Caenorhabditis elegans: one gene and its partners. The protein of the gene in region 2 purifies or fractionates together with the protein of the main gene of each other region. This does not show direct contact. Each region holds a gene or a part of one and is shown on either strand. Other genes may lie near its edges.

Region 1 (5,363 bases), on a different chromosome or scaffold from region 2:
ATCTGGAGCCACCTAATGAGTTTAAAACTTCAAATTTTTGATTTTTCCGGGCGGAATTCCGGTAATTATTCACTTCGTAAAAGTTTTCTCGTTAAATTTGTCGAAATTTTAATTGAAATTTTTTTTTTCTTCGATTTTTCATGATTTGCTATCACATTTCTGCTTTTTATCAACCAATTTCAGCTTGTTTTGAGTTAATTCCTCACGAAATAGATTAATTTTTTAAAGGCGCATGCATTTTCCCACTGCCGATATCCCGTTGCGCACGAGTGTTTGCCTCTCGTGTACTTCTCTCGGACAATTGGCGGGACTTTCGAAATTCATTTTTTGAGGTTTTTCTATTGGATTTTTAGTGTTTTCCGGCAGTTTGTTGAATAATTTAGCTCAAAAATGTTCTAAATTGTGAGATTTATTCGTTTTTAAAGTATAAATTGTGTGACAAGGACCATTGCATCGCTGGGAAGAGCAATAGTTAACTATTTCGCTGGAATTCTAGTAATCGGACGATTCTGTGGACTTATTGAGAGGTTTTTGATATTTTCTTATTGAAGCGTGTTCCTATGCTGAATATTTAGCTGATTTTGCTGCAAAAACAAGTTTTTCGGCCATATGCAAACTGATTCTCGAAAAAAAATCCCAGTTCTCTTAATTTTTCCCATTAATTCTCCTCATTTACGCTTCCAACTCCTACATTTTTGCCTTAAAAGCTTTCCATCTTATTAGCTAGCCAAATGAAGCGAGAATAAACAATTTCTAGCTCTTCTCTCATCTCCAACCATCTGCGTCTCCGCTCTCTTCCCATTTTCGAAAATGTCTTGCTTTGGAGCAGATGGACCGTTGTCAAGGCATTTTTTATCGCTTTTTTTCGTTTTCCCGTGTTTTCAATCGATTTCTCGTTCTCATTTATTCAAAAACAATATTTTCAGCTTAAAATGGAACCGACAGCCGCCGAGAACAACAACAATGTGTGGCTATTCTACCCGAATCTCATCGGTTATGGACGCATAGTACTCGCCATTTTGGCCATGTACTACATGTCGTCAGCGCCATGGTGTGCAATGTTCTGGTGAGTTTTGGCGAGCTGGAAATCGATTTTTGCATCAAAAATTAGCTAATATCCATGTTTACTACTACTTTTCATCTCTTTTTCACTGAAATGTCGAGTATTTTTGCGATGCATGGTAAAGAAATCAAGGTGACCAGGTTTCTTTTCAATTTTCCCCCATAATTGAAGAGTTACAATGCCATCTGACAAGGTTTTTCAGAAGAAAAGTCCTGAAAATTAGATTTTCGTAATTAAAATTTCTCATAATTTCAGCTATGCACTCAGCGCCGGACTCGACGCGTTTGACGGATGGGCGGCACGGACCTACAATCAATCGAGCCGATTTGGAGCAATGCTCGATCAGCTCACCGATCGGTACGTTAAAATTTCTCAAATATGCTGGAAAATTCGAGAAAAAAATTGGATTCGGTAAAATTCTCATATTTTCAGCTGCGCCCTGCTGGCCTTGGTGATGGCGCTCTGCAAGTTCTACCCGGATCACTTGTTCCTGCTTCAACTGTCGGCCGTAATCGACATCGCATCTCACTGGCTTCACCTTCACGCCACTGATCTCTCCGGTGCCACGAGCCACAAGCAGTCTTCGAATTGGCTTCTGAACCTCTACTACACGGATCGATTGTTCCTCGGATTCATGTGCGGCGGAAATGAGGCTTTCTACATTTTGCTCTACATTCGCGCGTTCTGGGCTGGTAAATATTTGATTTATTTTTGCTATAATTTATTAATTCCTCTAATTTTCAGGACCACTGATCTTCAACTTCCACTTCATGTCGATCTTCCCACTCATCGCCTTCCCGATTGCCTTCGTCAAGTCCGCCATCTCCGTCGTCCATCTGTACACTGCCGCCGAGATGGTCGTTGCTCACGATGTGAAGCTCCGTGTTGAGGCTGCTCAGAAGGCCCAATGATCTCCGGATCTCCCCGAAGTCTCCAAGATTCTCCTCTGATTCCCCATGAGCTTTTGTATACACATTCCCCACTACTTAATTCACGAGCTTTACGCTTAGCTTTAGTCCTTTAGTGCTCTCGTCTCAGGAAAATGTTTCCGATTTCCATTTAATTCCAAATTTGAACATATTTCTCTGTAATTTTTTTCCCCGTAATTTTTTTTTTCGCAAATTCCCGATGTACTTACTCTGTAAAATAATATTTATTTTGTTTATTTTATTTTCCATTTATTATTCAATTCGAATTGGTTTTCAGCCAGCCGATTTTATCTATTTTCTCTCAATTTTTATTTCTTGTTTTGATTTTTTTAACCTTAATCCCACGATTTTTGCAGGATATTCGACTATCCCGAGTTGACTACAAACTACAATGGCCGACGAGCTAGCCCGAATCCAGCAGTATGAGTACCGGCAGAACTCCAACTTGGTTCTGTCGGTCGACTACAATCTGACGGATCGGCGTGGCAGAGAGGAGCCGACTGGCGAGGTGCTGCCGATCACGGATAAGGAGATGCGCAAAATGAAGATGGGTGACCGGGCGATCAAGGGAAAAGCGCCGGTGCAGGATCAGAAGAAGAAGAGAAAGAAGAAGGACGACGAGAAAGCACAACAGTTCGGCCGGAATGTCCTTGTCGACAATAATGAGCTCATGGGAGCCTACAAGCCCAGAACCCAGGAGACGAAGCAGACTTATGAAGTGATTTTGTCTTTCATTTTGGACGCACTTGGCGATGTTCCACGCGAGGTTCTGTGCGGAGCCGCTGACGAGGTGCTTCTCACGCTGAAAAACGACAAATTCCGAGATAAAGGTGAGGTGAAAATCGAAGATTTTCAATAAAATTTATATTTTTTTTTCAGAGAAGAAGAAAGAAGTGGAAGCTCTTCTGGGACCGCTCACCGACGATCGTATCGCAGTTCTCATCAACTTATCGAAGAAGATCAGCGATTTTTCGATCGAAGAGGAGAATAAGCCTGAAGGCGATGGAGACATCTACGAGAATGAGGGTGTAAATGTGCAGTTCGACTCGGATGAGGAAGAAGATGACGGTGGGATGGTTAATGAGATCAAAGGTGATAGTGAGGAGGAGAGTGAAGAGGAAGAAGGTGTGGATACAGATTACACGGCAACACTCAAAGGAGATGGTCATTTGACGGAAGATGAGCAAAAAGCACGAGGAATTCTTCATCCACGTGACATCGACGCTCATTGGATCCAAAGATCGCTCGCCAAGTACTTCAAAGATCCTCTGATCGCCCAACAGAAGCAAACGGAAGTCATCGGAATTCTCAAGAACGCCGCCGACGATCGTGACGCCGAGAATCAGCTTGTCCTGCTGTTAGGCTTCGATCAGTTCGAGTTCATCAAGTGCCTTCGCCAGAATCGTCTTATGATCCTCTACTGTACACTTTTGCGTCAGGCGAACGAGAAGGAGCGTCTCCAAATCGAAGATGATATGCGATCTCGTCCAGAGCTTCATCCGATTCTTGCACTTCTTCAGGAGACTGATGAGGGATCTGTTGTGCAGGTGGAAAAGTCGAAACGAGACGCGGAGAAGTCGAAGAAGGCCGCCACAGCAGCAAATGAAGCCATCAGTGCGGGACAGTGGCAGGCGGGCCGCAAGATGTTGGATCTAAACGATCTCACGTTCAGTCAAGGATCTCATTTGATGAGCAATAAAAGGTAAATACAATTTTATTTTAAAAGTACGATTTTCCATTAGAAAATTAAGGAAATTTGATTCATTATGCACTTTAAAAGTCCACATTCCCAAAAAACCCTAAAATTCTCAATTTTGCAGATGCGAGCTCCCCGACGGATCCTACCGCCGCCAGAAAAAGTCCTACGAAGAAATCCACGTACCAGCCCTCAAACCACGACCATTTGCTGAAGGAGAGAAGCTCGTCAGTGTCTCAGAGCTCCCGAAATGGGCCCAACCGGCTTTCGACGGCTACAAGTCGCTGAACAGGATCCAATCCCGACTCTGTGATTCAGCTCTTCGATCCAAAGAGCATCTCTTGCTCTGTGCTCCAACTGGAGCTGGAAAGACGAACGTGGCGCTGCTCACGATGCTCCAAGAAATCGGAAACCACTTGGCAGAGGATGGAAGTGTGAAGCTCGATGAGTTCAAGATTGTCTACATTGCTCCGATGAAGTCACTGGTTCAAGAGATGGTTGGAAGCTTCTCAAAACGTCTTGCTCCATTCGGAATCACTGTCGGCGAAATGACCGGAGATGCTCAAATGAGCAAAGAGCAGTTCATGGCGACACAAGTGATCGTTTGTACGCCGGAAAAGTATGATGTGGTGACGCGAAAAGGCGGAGAGAGAGCCTATAACCAGATGGTTCGGCTGTTGATCATTGATGAGATCCATCTGCTTCACGATGATCGTGGACCGGTGTTGGAGTCGATCGTCGTCAGAACGATTCGTCAAATGGAGCAGAATCACGATGAGTGCCGACTGGTCGGACTTTCAGCAACTCTTCCGAATTATCAAGATGTGGCGACGTTCTTGCGAGTGAAGCCTGAGCATTTGCACTTCTTTGATAACAGCTATCGTCCAGTTCCCCTCGAGCAACAATATATTGGAGTTACTGAGAAGAAGGCTTTGAAGAGGTTCCAGGCGATGAACGAAGTGGTGTACGACAAGATTATGGAGCACGCCGGAAAGAGCCAAGTCCTCGTTTTTGTGCATTCCCGAAAGGAAACTGCGAAAACCGCGAAAGCGATTCGTGACGCGTGCCTCGAGAAGGACACGCTGTCGGCGTTCATGCGTGAGGGCTCAGCGAGCACAGAAATCCTGAGAACCGAGGCCGAGCAGGCGAAGAATTTGGATTTGAAGGACCTCTTGCCGTATGGATTCGCTATTCATCACGCTGGAATGAACAGAGTTGATCGTACACTCGTCGAGGATTTGTTCGCTGATCGGCATATTCAGGTAGGGGAATCGAAAATTTCCCGAAAATATTTCAAATCTTCAAAATATTATTTTTCAGGTGCTCTTTTCGACTGCAACTCTCGCTTGGGGAGTCAATCTGCCGGCTCATACTGTAATCATCAAGGGAACTCAGATCTATAACCCGGAAAAAGGACGTTGGACAGAGCTCGGAGCACTCGACATCATGCAAATGCTCGGAAGAGCCGGACGTCCACAGTACGATGATCGCGGAGAGGGAATTCTCATCACAAATCACTCGGAGCTCCAGTATTATCTCTCGCTGATGAATCAACAGCTTCCTGTCGAGTCGCAGATGGTCTCACGGCTCACTGATATGCTCAACGCTGAGGTTGTGCTCGGCACTGTCAGTAGTGTGTCGGAGGCGACGAATTGGTTGGGTTACACTTTCCTTT
Region 2 (6,424 bases):
CAAATTTCGGATAATTGATACCTCATCGAATAAATAAACATCATTTGGATCCACGTCATTGGGAAATTGGTAGTGATGGTGATAACCGCTGGTGCTTGGCTCATCTGGAAATTTGAATTTTAAGAATTTCTGAATTTTTGAATTAAAAAAAAATTTTTCAACGGTTTATCGATTTTTTCTGTTATTTTTATTGACTTTTCGGTCAAAAAATGCAATTTTCTATAATTATTTTTTCGAAAATTGAATTTTTTGCGAAAAAAAAACAAGAAAAGATTTTTTGCCGGCATTTCAATTTTCAAAACTTTAAAATTGACCATATGTCGATTTACGAAGCATGTGTACTCCCCGTGGAGAAGATTTTACACTTTTCCGTTAAAATTCTTGATTTTGAACAATTTTTGCTGATTTTTTTCTTCAATTTAATATTCAAAACGCCTTTTTATCACTATTTTAGGTTTCATTTTTTGGAATTCTGGAATTTTTCAGCGTAAAACTGTTCCGTACCATGAGAAAATGGTTCATCTTGTGTCCCTTGACCATCATGTTCCTCTTCATCATATTTTACATCAAAACTATCAATTTCTACTTCATAAGCGACGACTTGCTCGTCAACCATTATGAGCTCCGGTTGAGAAGCCATCTGAAATTTTATTTATTTGAAAAAATTGAATTTTTTTAAGAGTTATAAATTTCCAAAAAAATATATAACTTTTTTTCATAGAAAAAAAAACTAATTTTCCTTTAAAAAATTAAAATAAAATCTGGTCGATAACCATTAATTGGGTAAACTGAAATTTCAGGCTAAAAAATAAAAATAATTTTATCAATTTCCGTGTGTCGGAAATGTTCTGTAAGAATAGGGTTTAAAATTGGAAGAAAAAACAAATAAATGAACAAAGATACAAAATAAATAATTGAAACAGGAGAAAGTAAAACATTATTACGAAAAAAAAAATTTTTTTAATGAACAGGGAAATGTGAGAGATGGGACAAAAACTCGTGAGAAAAAGAGCCAAAATTTGGGAAAATAATAATTTTTTTTTGGGAAAAAAGGGAAAAATCAACAATTAATTCCACATTTTAATGAGACCATCCCATCCAGCAGTAATCATTCGGCTTTTTTCATGTGGATGCCATAGTGCTGCGATACAAGTGCTATCATGAGCTTTCCATCTGAAAATCATACATTTTTTGGAGGTTTTGGGGTTTTTTATTTTAATAATGGAAAATGTGGCGTATTTACTGAAAATAACGATTGAAAAATTGAAAAATTACGATTTTTTCAGAAATTTTGACGCATTAAAATCGAAAAAAAAGTTTATTTTTTGGATTTTTCGGGTTTAAAACTCAATTTTTAAGGTAAAAATCGTTAAAGTTGGGTACTTTTCACTTTTTTATTCAATTAGAATGTTTTAAATTAGAAAAAATTTAATTAAATGAGAGAAAATTTTATATTAAATTCAGGGCTTTCTCAGCATTTTTTTATATTAAAGCGCAAAATAATCGGAAAAATCGTGATTTTTAAATTTTTTACCAGTTTCCATCTTTTTTTTAAACAAAAAATCAATAATTTCCACATAGAAAACCTTACTTTCCAACAATTTTGTGTGTTCTCCAATCCCAAATAAACAATTTTCCATCAGCATCACCAGAGATTAGGAAACTTTGATCCGGCGAAAAATCGATATTGCACGCATATCCAGCCGCATTGTGTCCTCTGAAAGCCTTCTTTTTTGAGAATCGAAGCTTATCATCGACAAGCTGGAAAAGGACTATCCGATTGTCCATGCATTGTCCCACAACCCATTTATCTGGAAAAGAAATGAGAGAAATTTGAGCTTTAAGTATTTTTATTACAGGAGCACAAAGCATTGTGAATGTGTATTGAGCAACATATTCGACGCGCAAAATATCTCGTAGCGAAAACTACAGTAACCCTTAAAATGACTACTGTAGCGCTTGTGTTGATTTACGGGCTCGATTTTTGAAATATTTTTTTTTAAATAGTGGCAACGGTATTTCAGCTTCCTTCAATTTTGCGAAAAATTGGAGAAAAAATGAAAAATCGCTCACTATTCGAAATGAAATTCGTTCCGAAAATTGAGCCCGTAAATCGACACAACAGCGCTACAGTAATCATTTTAAGGATTACTGTAGTTTTCGCTACGAGATATTTTGCGCGTCATATACATTGCACAATACGCGTTCCCTGAATTTAATGTTCCTCAATAATTACCATTAGGACTCTTTGTCATAGTCGGAATCGCATGAAGTCCAACATTTTGAATAAGTTTCGTGTCTACTGGGATCTCCCATTCCCAAATTCTGACACTTTTATCATCAGAAGTGGATGCGAAACGACGATTCTTGTCGAAAAATGTGATAGAATTGACTGCCTGCAAGTGACGATCGTATTCTTGAACAATTTCTCCAGATCTTGAATCCCATTGAATAATCTTCTTATTCTGCATTCCAACCAAAAACATATGATTCTTATCATCATCTGGATGATATTTCAAGCAATACGGTACGTGTCCAGTATGAAATCTCTGCTTAACTTGTCCAGTTTCAGTATCCCAAAGCTTCACGTATCGATCAAAAGATGCTGACAAGAATTCTGTACCCTCATTATTAAATGCAACTTCACGAACAGGAAGCTTATGGCCTGCGTATGTTCTGACAACTCGCTGACGATCATATACTTCCCATAATTTGATTTTTGTGTCCATTGAGCATGACAAGAATAAATGAGCACTTTTCGGGAACCATTGAAGGAAATTGACACCTTTGTTATGTCCTCGATACGTGTGAACAAGCTTTTTCGGTACGAAACATCGCTCGGGAACGTAGTCCTCTCGGAGATTGACACCGGTGAATGATGGTGGAACAAGAAATGAGCGACCTTGGTAATCCTCGGCTTCTTTCACTGAAAAATTAATTATTAGAAGAGTTGATGTACTTCCAGAAAAACTTTTGAGCATAACCGAAAAATCGAACCATTCGAAAACCGAAAAAAATCTTCTGAAAACACTCTAAAATTGGTATTTCTTATTCAGAATGCAAAATTTTCGATTTTCGAAGCAATTTATCCATGTTAAGCGAAATATTGTTTCAAAATTTCAAGATAATTTAAAAAATAAGGTGCCAAATTTCGGTAAAATTCTTTAAAAAATTGAATCAAATTCCAAAAATGGCTAAACTGAGCTGAAATTGTTGAAATTAAACAACAAATAGCAAATTTTATCTTAAATCGTTAACAAACTTGGGCCAAATTTCACTAAAAATGTTTAAAATGATCAGATTAAATTTAGCAAAAATCTTGGAAAACTATCTTTTTCTCTTATCAATACAAATTGTTTTAGATTTCCCTTGAAATGCCAAAAAAATTTCGCTAAAAATAAAAAATAAAAGTTTAAAATCTCGGAAAAACAGTTAATTCGCTGAAAATCGGTTAAAAATTTCAAAAAAAGAAACGAAATTTCTCTGCAACGTTTAAAAATTGGGTTAAATATTCGAAAATGGCTAAAATGAGCTTAAAATTTTGCTTAAATCTAATAAAATGGCTCTAAAATTTGGCCAATTTTAGCTAAAATCGTAATTTATCCAATTAATCTTCCATTTTCACGTTTATCTAGCGTTTTCTGTTTATCTAATTACATTTTCAGTCAGAAAGAGCACAAATCTGATCAAAAAATCAACTGAAAATTGGAAAATTTCAGCTAAATTTAGCACATTTCCGGAACTTTAAAGGCCTTTTTGAGCCATTTCAAGCCAAACAATCAAGAATAAACTCGTACAATGAAGCGTGGAGCTCTCTTCAGCCATTTGCTCACTATCCTCCTTTTCTTTCTTGAATCGCCTGCTTTTTTCTTGCCTCTTCTTCACAATTTCATCCATTTGTTTCTGAAGTTCTGGTGTTGGTTTAGCGACTGTCTTTTCATCAATAAATCGACTCCATGGTCCAGTATATCCATCAATATCTGCTGAATCATCATTTCTAACTCGTTTTCTCTTCTCCCCGCCAGTCTTTTTCGATTCAAAAAGTGAAACTCCTTTCTCGGCTTCTGCTTTTTTGACGTCTCCCACGAAATGAGTTGTACCGGATTCGGCAGTCGGATTCTGAGCGTACCCAAGAGTATCAAAGCTTCGAATTTGTCGATTAAAATGAAATTCATTGAGATGTGCAGGCTCGACGAATCCTGTCAATGTGTTCTTTTGTGATCTTTGTTGCTCTGATTTAAAGTGATTTACTGGCCCAGATTCTGGCTTGAAGAGCTGATCAAATTTTGGATTTGATTTAATCTCTTTAGTCTTTGGATCTACAATCGCTACTTGTCGAATTGCACTTTTCGACTCAACGTCCGGAGCAGTGACTATGGCTCTTTCCAGCAATGTCGATGATTTTCCTTTTGCGACCTGATCCATGCTGGCGTCATCATCTGAGTGTTCACTGTCGCTACCGCCATACGCTTGTAGCGCATCCATTTTTGATTTGTTTGAGTTTCTGAAAAAAAAACTAATTTTAATTTTTAAATTTAAATTTCACGTTCGTTTTCGAGAAAAATAAGAAAAAAATTAACATTTCTCATTTCAAATACAGAGAAAAACTACAACAAAAAATGGACAAATATCAAGTTTCACACTATTTCAAGCACTATCAGACGGACACTTCGGAGCTCTATTGGTCCTACATTGGGCTCGCCGTCATCTTTGTCGTCTCCGCTTCGATACCGCTTTGGTTACAGTATCGGGCGGTTGGTGACGTGACAAATGGTGACGTGGCATGCGAGACTCCTGTTCAATGGCATTTGGAGCAAGAAATTGCGAAGATTAAGACGGATGCGAGACGGAAGAAAGGGAAAAAGAAGCGCGGATCGGTGAGGGATTGCCGAGAAAAAATAAATGAATCTGACAAATTCTGTATATTTTCAGCTTTCAACGGAGGAAAATTGATGTTCGTGCTGTACTTGATCTTTTAGAATAAATATTTTTCGTTAAATATGTCTTGAAACGTTTCTATCGATTTCTTGGAACAATTGTTTAACCTCCAGCGGGAAACTTTCAGACAAGAGAAATACACCCAAAAAACCAAATTGTGATGGTTCCCGATGCATTCCGACAAAATTTAGACAATTTCTAATAGCTTTTACATCAAAAATCAGCGCAAAAGCATTAAAAAACAAGGAAAACCGATATTTTTACACAAAAATAAATGAAAATTGCCATTCGAATGATTCGAAAAGAGAGTGTGCATTGGGGCGCTCTTGCATTACCATCGAAAAAATAAATTTTTATCAATTTTTTCCACGTTTTTCAGCTTTTTTTTTTCGGTTTTAGAAGTTTTTAAACGGATTTTTATGTTTCAAATTGTTTAAATACTAATTTATAATTTATTTAAGCATGTTTTCCGTTTTCACATTCGCCGAATACGGCGAAAATCCATGAAAATCAAAAATTGCTGATTTTTTACATAATTTCCCAATATATTGGTCAATACTCAAGAAGATTTGGTTCTGGAATTTCGTTAAAAAAAATGAATTTTACTCATTGTTTCTAAAGATAAATTCAATATAATTTTGTCGTCTCCAGTTTTGTTTTTCCTGCGATTTCTGATGCTTTTGAATCACGCGCTCACTATGAATCAGCAGTTTAAAATCAAAACAACGGCTTTTATAATACATTTGATGAAAGTTTATCGCCTCCTTTCGCTATTTTCTCTCTATTTTTGTGATTTTTTTTTCGTAAAAATCGATAAAATTCCAAAATTTCAGCTAAAAATGACCGAAGACACCGCTTCACCCTTCTGCATTAAGCTCGTAGCCACTCAAATGAAGAAACTCTCCACTGACGTCATTATCGTGGAGAAAAGTGACGTGGAAAACTGCCCGGAAGTGACTCCGGATGACGTTGAGCTTCTGACATTCGTCGAAGTCTACGAAGAGCTGTGCAAATTCATCGGAATGCTCGGAAAAATCTTTGAATTTGTGGAGAAAGATGTTCGTGAGAAGATTGATCTTCTGAAGGAGCTTCATACGGCGAATCCAGAAGGATACAAAACTGTAGTTGCTCTTGTTCACAGTGAAAAACCAATGGAGAAGAATGGAAAAGAGAGTGGAGCAGTGGCAATTTTACATTTAAATCGGTACTTTTTGACTAGAAATCTTAAAATTTCCTTGAATTTCCAGGGCTCTCGAGTTCATCGTCGAGTTCATGTATGCGGCAGTGGCTGCCACTAACGATGACAGCATTCCCAAGATTTGCAAGGAATGCTATGATGGAACCCTGGCAAAGTATGCTCTGAAAATCTGAATTTCATGTTATGAATTTTTAATTTCCAGACATCATCCATGGATCATTCGTACCGCTGTCAAAGTGGCCGTATACACTCTCCCAACACGTGAAAAAATGCTTGACTACCTTAAAG
Region 3 (5,254 bases), on a different chromosome or scaffold from region 2:
TTGTTGGTGAGAGGGGAAGATGAGCTTCCTCCCGAGAGTATACTTTGTCTATTTGGGAAGTTGATGGAACATGGAACTTTTGGTTTTAGTTGCAAAACTAACGACAAACAAATTTTCTAGACTAACTTGAAACGCCTATAACTTTGCCGGAAGTTGAGTTAATAAAAAATTGTTTATTAACATATTATAGAGCTCAAAATTTCCTACAACTTGGTAGTTGTCAACTTTTTGATAGCTCTCCTCATCGCGGAGATATACGCGTTTAAAGTAAGAACAGTGAGAGAGTGTGGAGGGAGGGGAGACGCAGTCGCGCTCGTTGTCTGCGTCTCTTTCTCTCCCACGATCTTTTACAACGACACGTTAAAACGTTTGTAACTCTGCGTAGAAAACAGCTATCAAAAAAGTTTCAACTAACAAAATGTGAGAAATTTTGTATAGTATTTTCAGATACCCCAAATTTCTCTGAAAATGTTCAAAATTTCCTCCGTCAAATAGCAAAACATTTTCCATTTGCATCCCTAATAGGGTGTCCTACTCCAATTCCATTAAATTCTTGGAGAGAGTACATCCATTCATGTTAGCAGATGTGTAGTGTCTGCGTCTAATTACATCACAATGGGCTCGCCATTTGAAGCAAAAAGAGGAAGAGCTCTTTGAAAATTGAGCCGAAATGGAATTGGTGACGTTTTTCTAGGGTTTTCGGAGAAGCCTAATATCAAAAATTTTCCAATTGCGTTTTTTCGCAGAACCACAAAAAGTCATAAAGTTAGACCTTTTAACTCAAAATTTTAAAATTTTTTTCAGCTTTCCGACACCTTCAAAATACGTATAATCATGACCAGATTTCCAAAAAAGTTTGGTCCCGCCACGAGAGCTACAGTACCCCTTCAGAATTTTCATAGCTTAGTTATGTTTGCATATTCAAATGAAAGTTCTCAAAATGCCAAATATGAAAACCAAAAAAATTAGGTCTTGCGGTGAAACTGGGAATATTGCTGTGCCGTTTTGAAAATTTAAATTTTTTGATTTTCGAAATTTTTCGAAAATCCATAAATGTGCCAAAACTTAAAGTTTTGGGCGGAAATTAGAAGTTATAAATGCGTAAAGTCCTGAACTACGCAAAAATAATAATTTTTAACATCTCTGTAAGATTGCTACAGTACCACATACGTTTTCGTGACGGGACCCAAAAATTTCAGCATTTTCAGAACCTAGTCATGATTATACTTATTTTAACGGGCTTTTAACACTGATTTCAAAAATTTAAGTGAAAATTCAAAAATATCTTCTTAAAAAAAATCCCCCACCAATGACAGTTGGCTCCAAGTCGACCATGACGGCTCTTGGCACATGACGTCCACTTCCAGTTTCCGAGAAGAAAGTGCTGAAAGAGTCATCGGATCCTCCGAGGGACTTGTCAGAAGGCATTTGACCATCGGGCTGAATTCCGTGCTCCAGGCAGTAGAGCTCCCAGCAAGCATTTCCGATTTGGACTCCGGCTTGTCCGATGTGAATCGAAATTACTTCTCTCTGCAAGATAACTTTTTTTGTTTGTAGATTTTAAAGGGTTTTATTATAAAATTTGAATTCAGCAAACGAAGAGCTTCAAATTAAGCCCCATATTGGCTATGTTCCTTTAGATTTGGGTCCCGTCACGAAAGTGTCTACATGGGGTACTGTAGTTTTCGCGGTGGGACCCAGTTTTCTCAGTGAAACCTAGGCATGACTATACTTGAATTGAAGCTCACAGCGTGGTGAATTTGAATTTTTGAATCAAAATTTCAAATTTTCATTTTAAAAAGTTTACTACGATATCTGATATGTATTACAGGTAGACAGGTAGATCAAACCCTCTGAAAAATTTACATTCGTGGCGAATTTCAAATTTGTTCAAACCCACTATTTTATTGTAAAACTCAATTTTCAATAAAATTTCGCGGGTCTCGCCACGAAGAGTGCGTATTTCTTCTAGGAATAGTCCTCTCCTCCCTAAAGTTCCACCCGCAAAAAGAAAGAGAAAAAAGTCAATTTTCGCCCAAATTGGATACATTTTGTGTTGCTCGTCTCAACTCCTCAACAACCCTCCTTCGCCCCGTCCTGCTCGGCGCGGAGCATTTTTCAGTTGAATTGGCAACATTTCCTGTGTTTATGTGGTGGGGCTCCGGAAGTCCGGACCTGGCACCAGGTGTGCTCAATGAGTCGAAAAAATGTTGAAGGGGTGTTGAGGTGGAAGAGTTAATAAATCCTAAAATCCTAGTTTTTCAAAATCAAATTTCGAAAAATTGTTTTTTTTTCCTAAAATTGTTAAAATAATTTGTTTTGATATCAGGGTTCCTAACCAAGATGTGTCCTGATAACGCATACGCAGACGGCGATGGCGTCTGCGTCTCACCACTTCTTACACTATCTCGTCGCTAACTTTAAGTGTTTGTATCTCAGCGAAGAGCTGAGATATCAAAAAATTTCAACAAACAAAATGCAGCACTTAACATTTCCTACATTTTGTTAGTTATCAACTTTTTGACAGTTGCTTTCCGAACGGAGATATGCCCTGTTAAAGTTAGGAGGACTGGAATAGTGTGGCACGAGAAGAGACGCAGACAGCCCCCTTCCACACTGTTTGGCTTGCTACATTTTGAACGAGTATATCTCCACAGGGAAAAGAGTTAGAAGAAAAGTTTCAACTAACGAAATGTAGGAAATTTCAAGGTCTATATTTTGTCTGTTGACAAATTTTTAGTATTCACGTTATTTTTCTAGATACTGGTAGTTTTAACAAGAAATCAGATTCGTAAAGTTTTTATGGCGAGGTTTAAATGTTTCAAAATTCATTTTTCACAAGAATTCATTTCTAGCATCTCAAGAATCTAAACATTCAAATAAACATTGTTCAGAAAATCTAGAAAACCCACCATTTTGCAAAAGAGGAGCTACAAGTTGTGTTTGCTGGGCGACGAGTTGAGATGGAACAGAACACACACAAGTGGGGCTCTGTGCTCTGTGAGCCTCTTTTCTGAAGACGTGCCTTCTCTGCGTCTCTCCGTGTTGACACATGCTCCGCCCCTCCTATGTTTCTTTTTTTGCTCCGCGAGCTCCATGTTTAGGATGGGAAAGGAGACGACATGAAATTCCGAAAAACAGAGAAAAAACGAAATTAAATTAAAATGTTGCGAAATTGTTAAGAACATTGGTTTTGACATATTAAAATTCTGTTGAAAACTAATAAAATACAAAATAAAAAATTTCCTTGACAGTGTTTAAAAATCTTATATCTCTGCTGGTAATTAGCAAAATATAGCTTTTATGATGTTCTACATTTTGATATTTCCCATCGCGAAACTTCTACTTCATATAATTTAACTGTTACTGGGGAAAAAGTAACATATTGCCCAAAGGCAAATTAGAAAGGACTCTAAAGACCTAGTTTTGGTGAGAAGTTTTCAAAAAAAAGTTTCTACAATTTTTTTTAAATTTAAAATTCAAACGTACGTATCTCAAAAACCAGGTGAGTTATCAAAAATTGCCAACAAACAAAATTAAGCTCTTGAAATTTGATACACTTTGTAAGTTGACAACTTTTTGATACATTATCTCGTCGCGGAAATACATGTGTCTAAAGGAACCTAGGTGAAAGGTACATGCCAGGGTGTGCGGCAAATTTTCCGAAATTTGCCATTCACCGAGCTTGGTAAGTTTGCCGAATATTCCACAAAAAAACATCAAAAATATTAAAATTTTCGGATCCCAATTATTATTCTAGTTCAGTTTTTCAAAATACAGTTTGAAAAAAAATCGTTTTTTGTAGATAAAGCTGTATATCTCAAAAACCAGGAAAGTTATCAAAAATTTGTTCACTAGCAAATTGTAGACAATTTTTAGAGCTATACTTTGTTTGTTGACAATTTTTTCGTAGCTCTACAGGTTTTTGAGAGAAATCGATTAAAAAACAATTGAAAAAAAACTTCTTGCTTTGAAATTTTTTTGTAATTTTTCAAAACCTTTTCGCAAGTCAGTTGAATTTTTTAAAGTTTCTACATGTTAAAAAATTAATAATTAAAAATTAATTTTTACATTTTCCAACAACACATTCTTCTCCCCACCACTTCCACCAATTTCCAGCCATCTGCCCTCTCTGGCTCCGTGAGCCCTCAGCAAACAGTATCAGGTTACCCCTTAGAGACTCCGCCCAACTACAGTAATCCAAGGAAATAGTGTGTAAGGTGGAGAGAGCCGAGAGAGAAAGCCATCTGGAAATGAGCAAAAGGATTGGTTTACCGATGGAAATGGAAAGAACCTCCTAATGCATTCAGATTCAGAGCTCTGCGATGAAGCTTGCGGTGACTAGTATTCAGCTGTGTATTTATTGGCCTTTACTGCTTAAAATGTATTCAAAACTAGTATAATTTCAAAAAAATTCCTTTTTTTTTGTTAAATTTTAAGTTTTTCCCTACTACCAATAGGATCCTAGGACCTTATCACAATTTCTAACACTCAAATTTTGATGAATTTGGAATTTTTTGGGGGACTTGGGACCACTGTTGTATGAATTTTTAAGCTGATGATCTTCCTTTTTCATTCATTTTTGATAGGGTCTCATATTCTTGGAAGAACTGGAAAATGATAAATTTTGAGAAGAAAAGGCTTTGAGAAAAAAGAACGAAGGGAATTTTGTTGTGCAGTTTTTGAAAATTTTTGAAAAAAAATCGAAAAATCTCAAATTGTCTAGCTGAATTGTTTTTTTTTCAGTTTGTGTATTTTATTGATTTTGTAAAAAAGAGTTTGACGATAGCTTTAATTTTACAGAAAAAATTCGGCAAAAAATTTCAATTTCGATCAAAGTTAAAATTTCGAGAATTTTCAACATTTTTTAAACATTTTTAACATTTTGGAGTTAGCCCCAGTAACTTGCCGATTTTGTTCTGAAATTTAAAATTTATTGTAAATTGAAAATCCGCACATTTATAGTTTTTATTTAAGTATAATCATGGCTAGATTCTAAAGAATTCAAAAATTTCTGAAAATATGGGTCTCGCCCCAAAAATCGTTGGGTGTTGTAGCTGGGTACTTTACAGTGGTTTGAAATAATTTTTTTTTCACTTTTTTCTAAATTTCAATAAATCTTTTACAAAGAAATTTCACAAAATGTCTTAATTTCTAGTGGAGCTATTGATTTTCGAAAAATTTTCAAAAATTAAAAATGTCGATAATTTTAAATTTTTGGGTCCCGCTACGAAAACCGCCGGAATAAAATTTT

Evidence for each region. The genes of interacting proteins can lie anywhere in the genome.
Region 1: the proteins of prp-17 (region 2) and snrp-200 fractionate together in Caenorhabditis elegans (co-fractionation; one large-scale study listed by BioGRID). This does not show direct contact.
Region 3: the proteins of prp-17 (region 2) and mec-12 fractionate together in Caenorhabditis elegans (co-fractionation; one large-scale study listed by BioGRID). This does not show direct contact.

The regions. Positions count from the first base shown.
Region 1 is NC_003280.10:12,733,896-12,739,258, reverse strand, and holds the start of snrp-200 (U5 small nuclear ribonucleoprotein 200 kDa helicase), read left to right. Parts: upstream 1-2,348; 5' UTR 2,349-2,383; coding exon 2,384-2,822; intron 2,823-2,871; coding exon 2,872-3,694; intron 3,695-3,812; coding exon 3,813-4,950; intron 4,951-5,008; coding exon 5,009-5,363. Other genes in the region: pisy-1 (CDP-diacylglycerol--inositol 3-phosphatidyltransferase), read left to right, coding at 933-1,066, 1,319-1,420, 1,496-1,755, 1,808-1,974. UniProt on the Caenorhabditis elegans protein: Catalyzes the ATP-dependent unwinding of U4/U6 RNA duplices, an essential step in the assembly of a catalytically active spliceosome. Plays a role in pre-mRNA splicing.
Region 2 is NC_003279.8:10,934,901-10,941,324, reverse strand, and holds prp-17 (Pre-mRNA-processing factor 17), read right to left. Parts: upstream 4,511-6,424; 5' UTR 4,486-4,510; coding exon 3,798-4,485; intron 2,927-3,797; coding exon 2,237-2,926; intron 1,812-2,236; coding exon 1,592-1,811; intron 1,174-1,591; coding exon 1,068-1,173; 3' UTR 804-1,067; downstream 1-803. Other genes in the region: Y95D11A.3 (BZIP domain-containing protein), read right to left, coding at 22-104, 505-640; F49D11.14 (uncharacterized protein), read left to right, coding at 4,620-4,877, 4,933-4,953; tag-296 (Glycolipid transfer protein domain-containing protein), read left to right, coding at 5,778-6,142, 6,186-6,290, 6,339-6,424.
Region 3 is NC_003281.10:3,136,220-3,141,473, forward strand, and holds the start of mec-12 (Detyrosinated tubulin alpha-3 chain), read right to left. Parts: upstream 3,016-5,254; 5' UTR 2,916-3,015; coding exon 2,913-2,915; intron 1,531-2,912; coding exon 1,308-1,530; intron 1-1,307.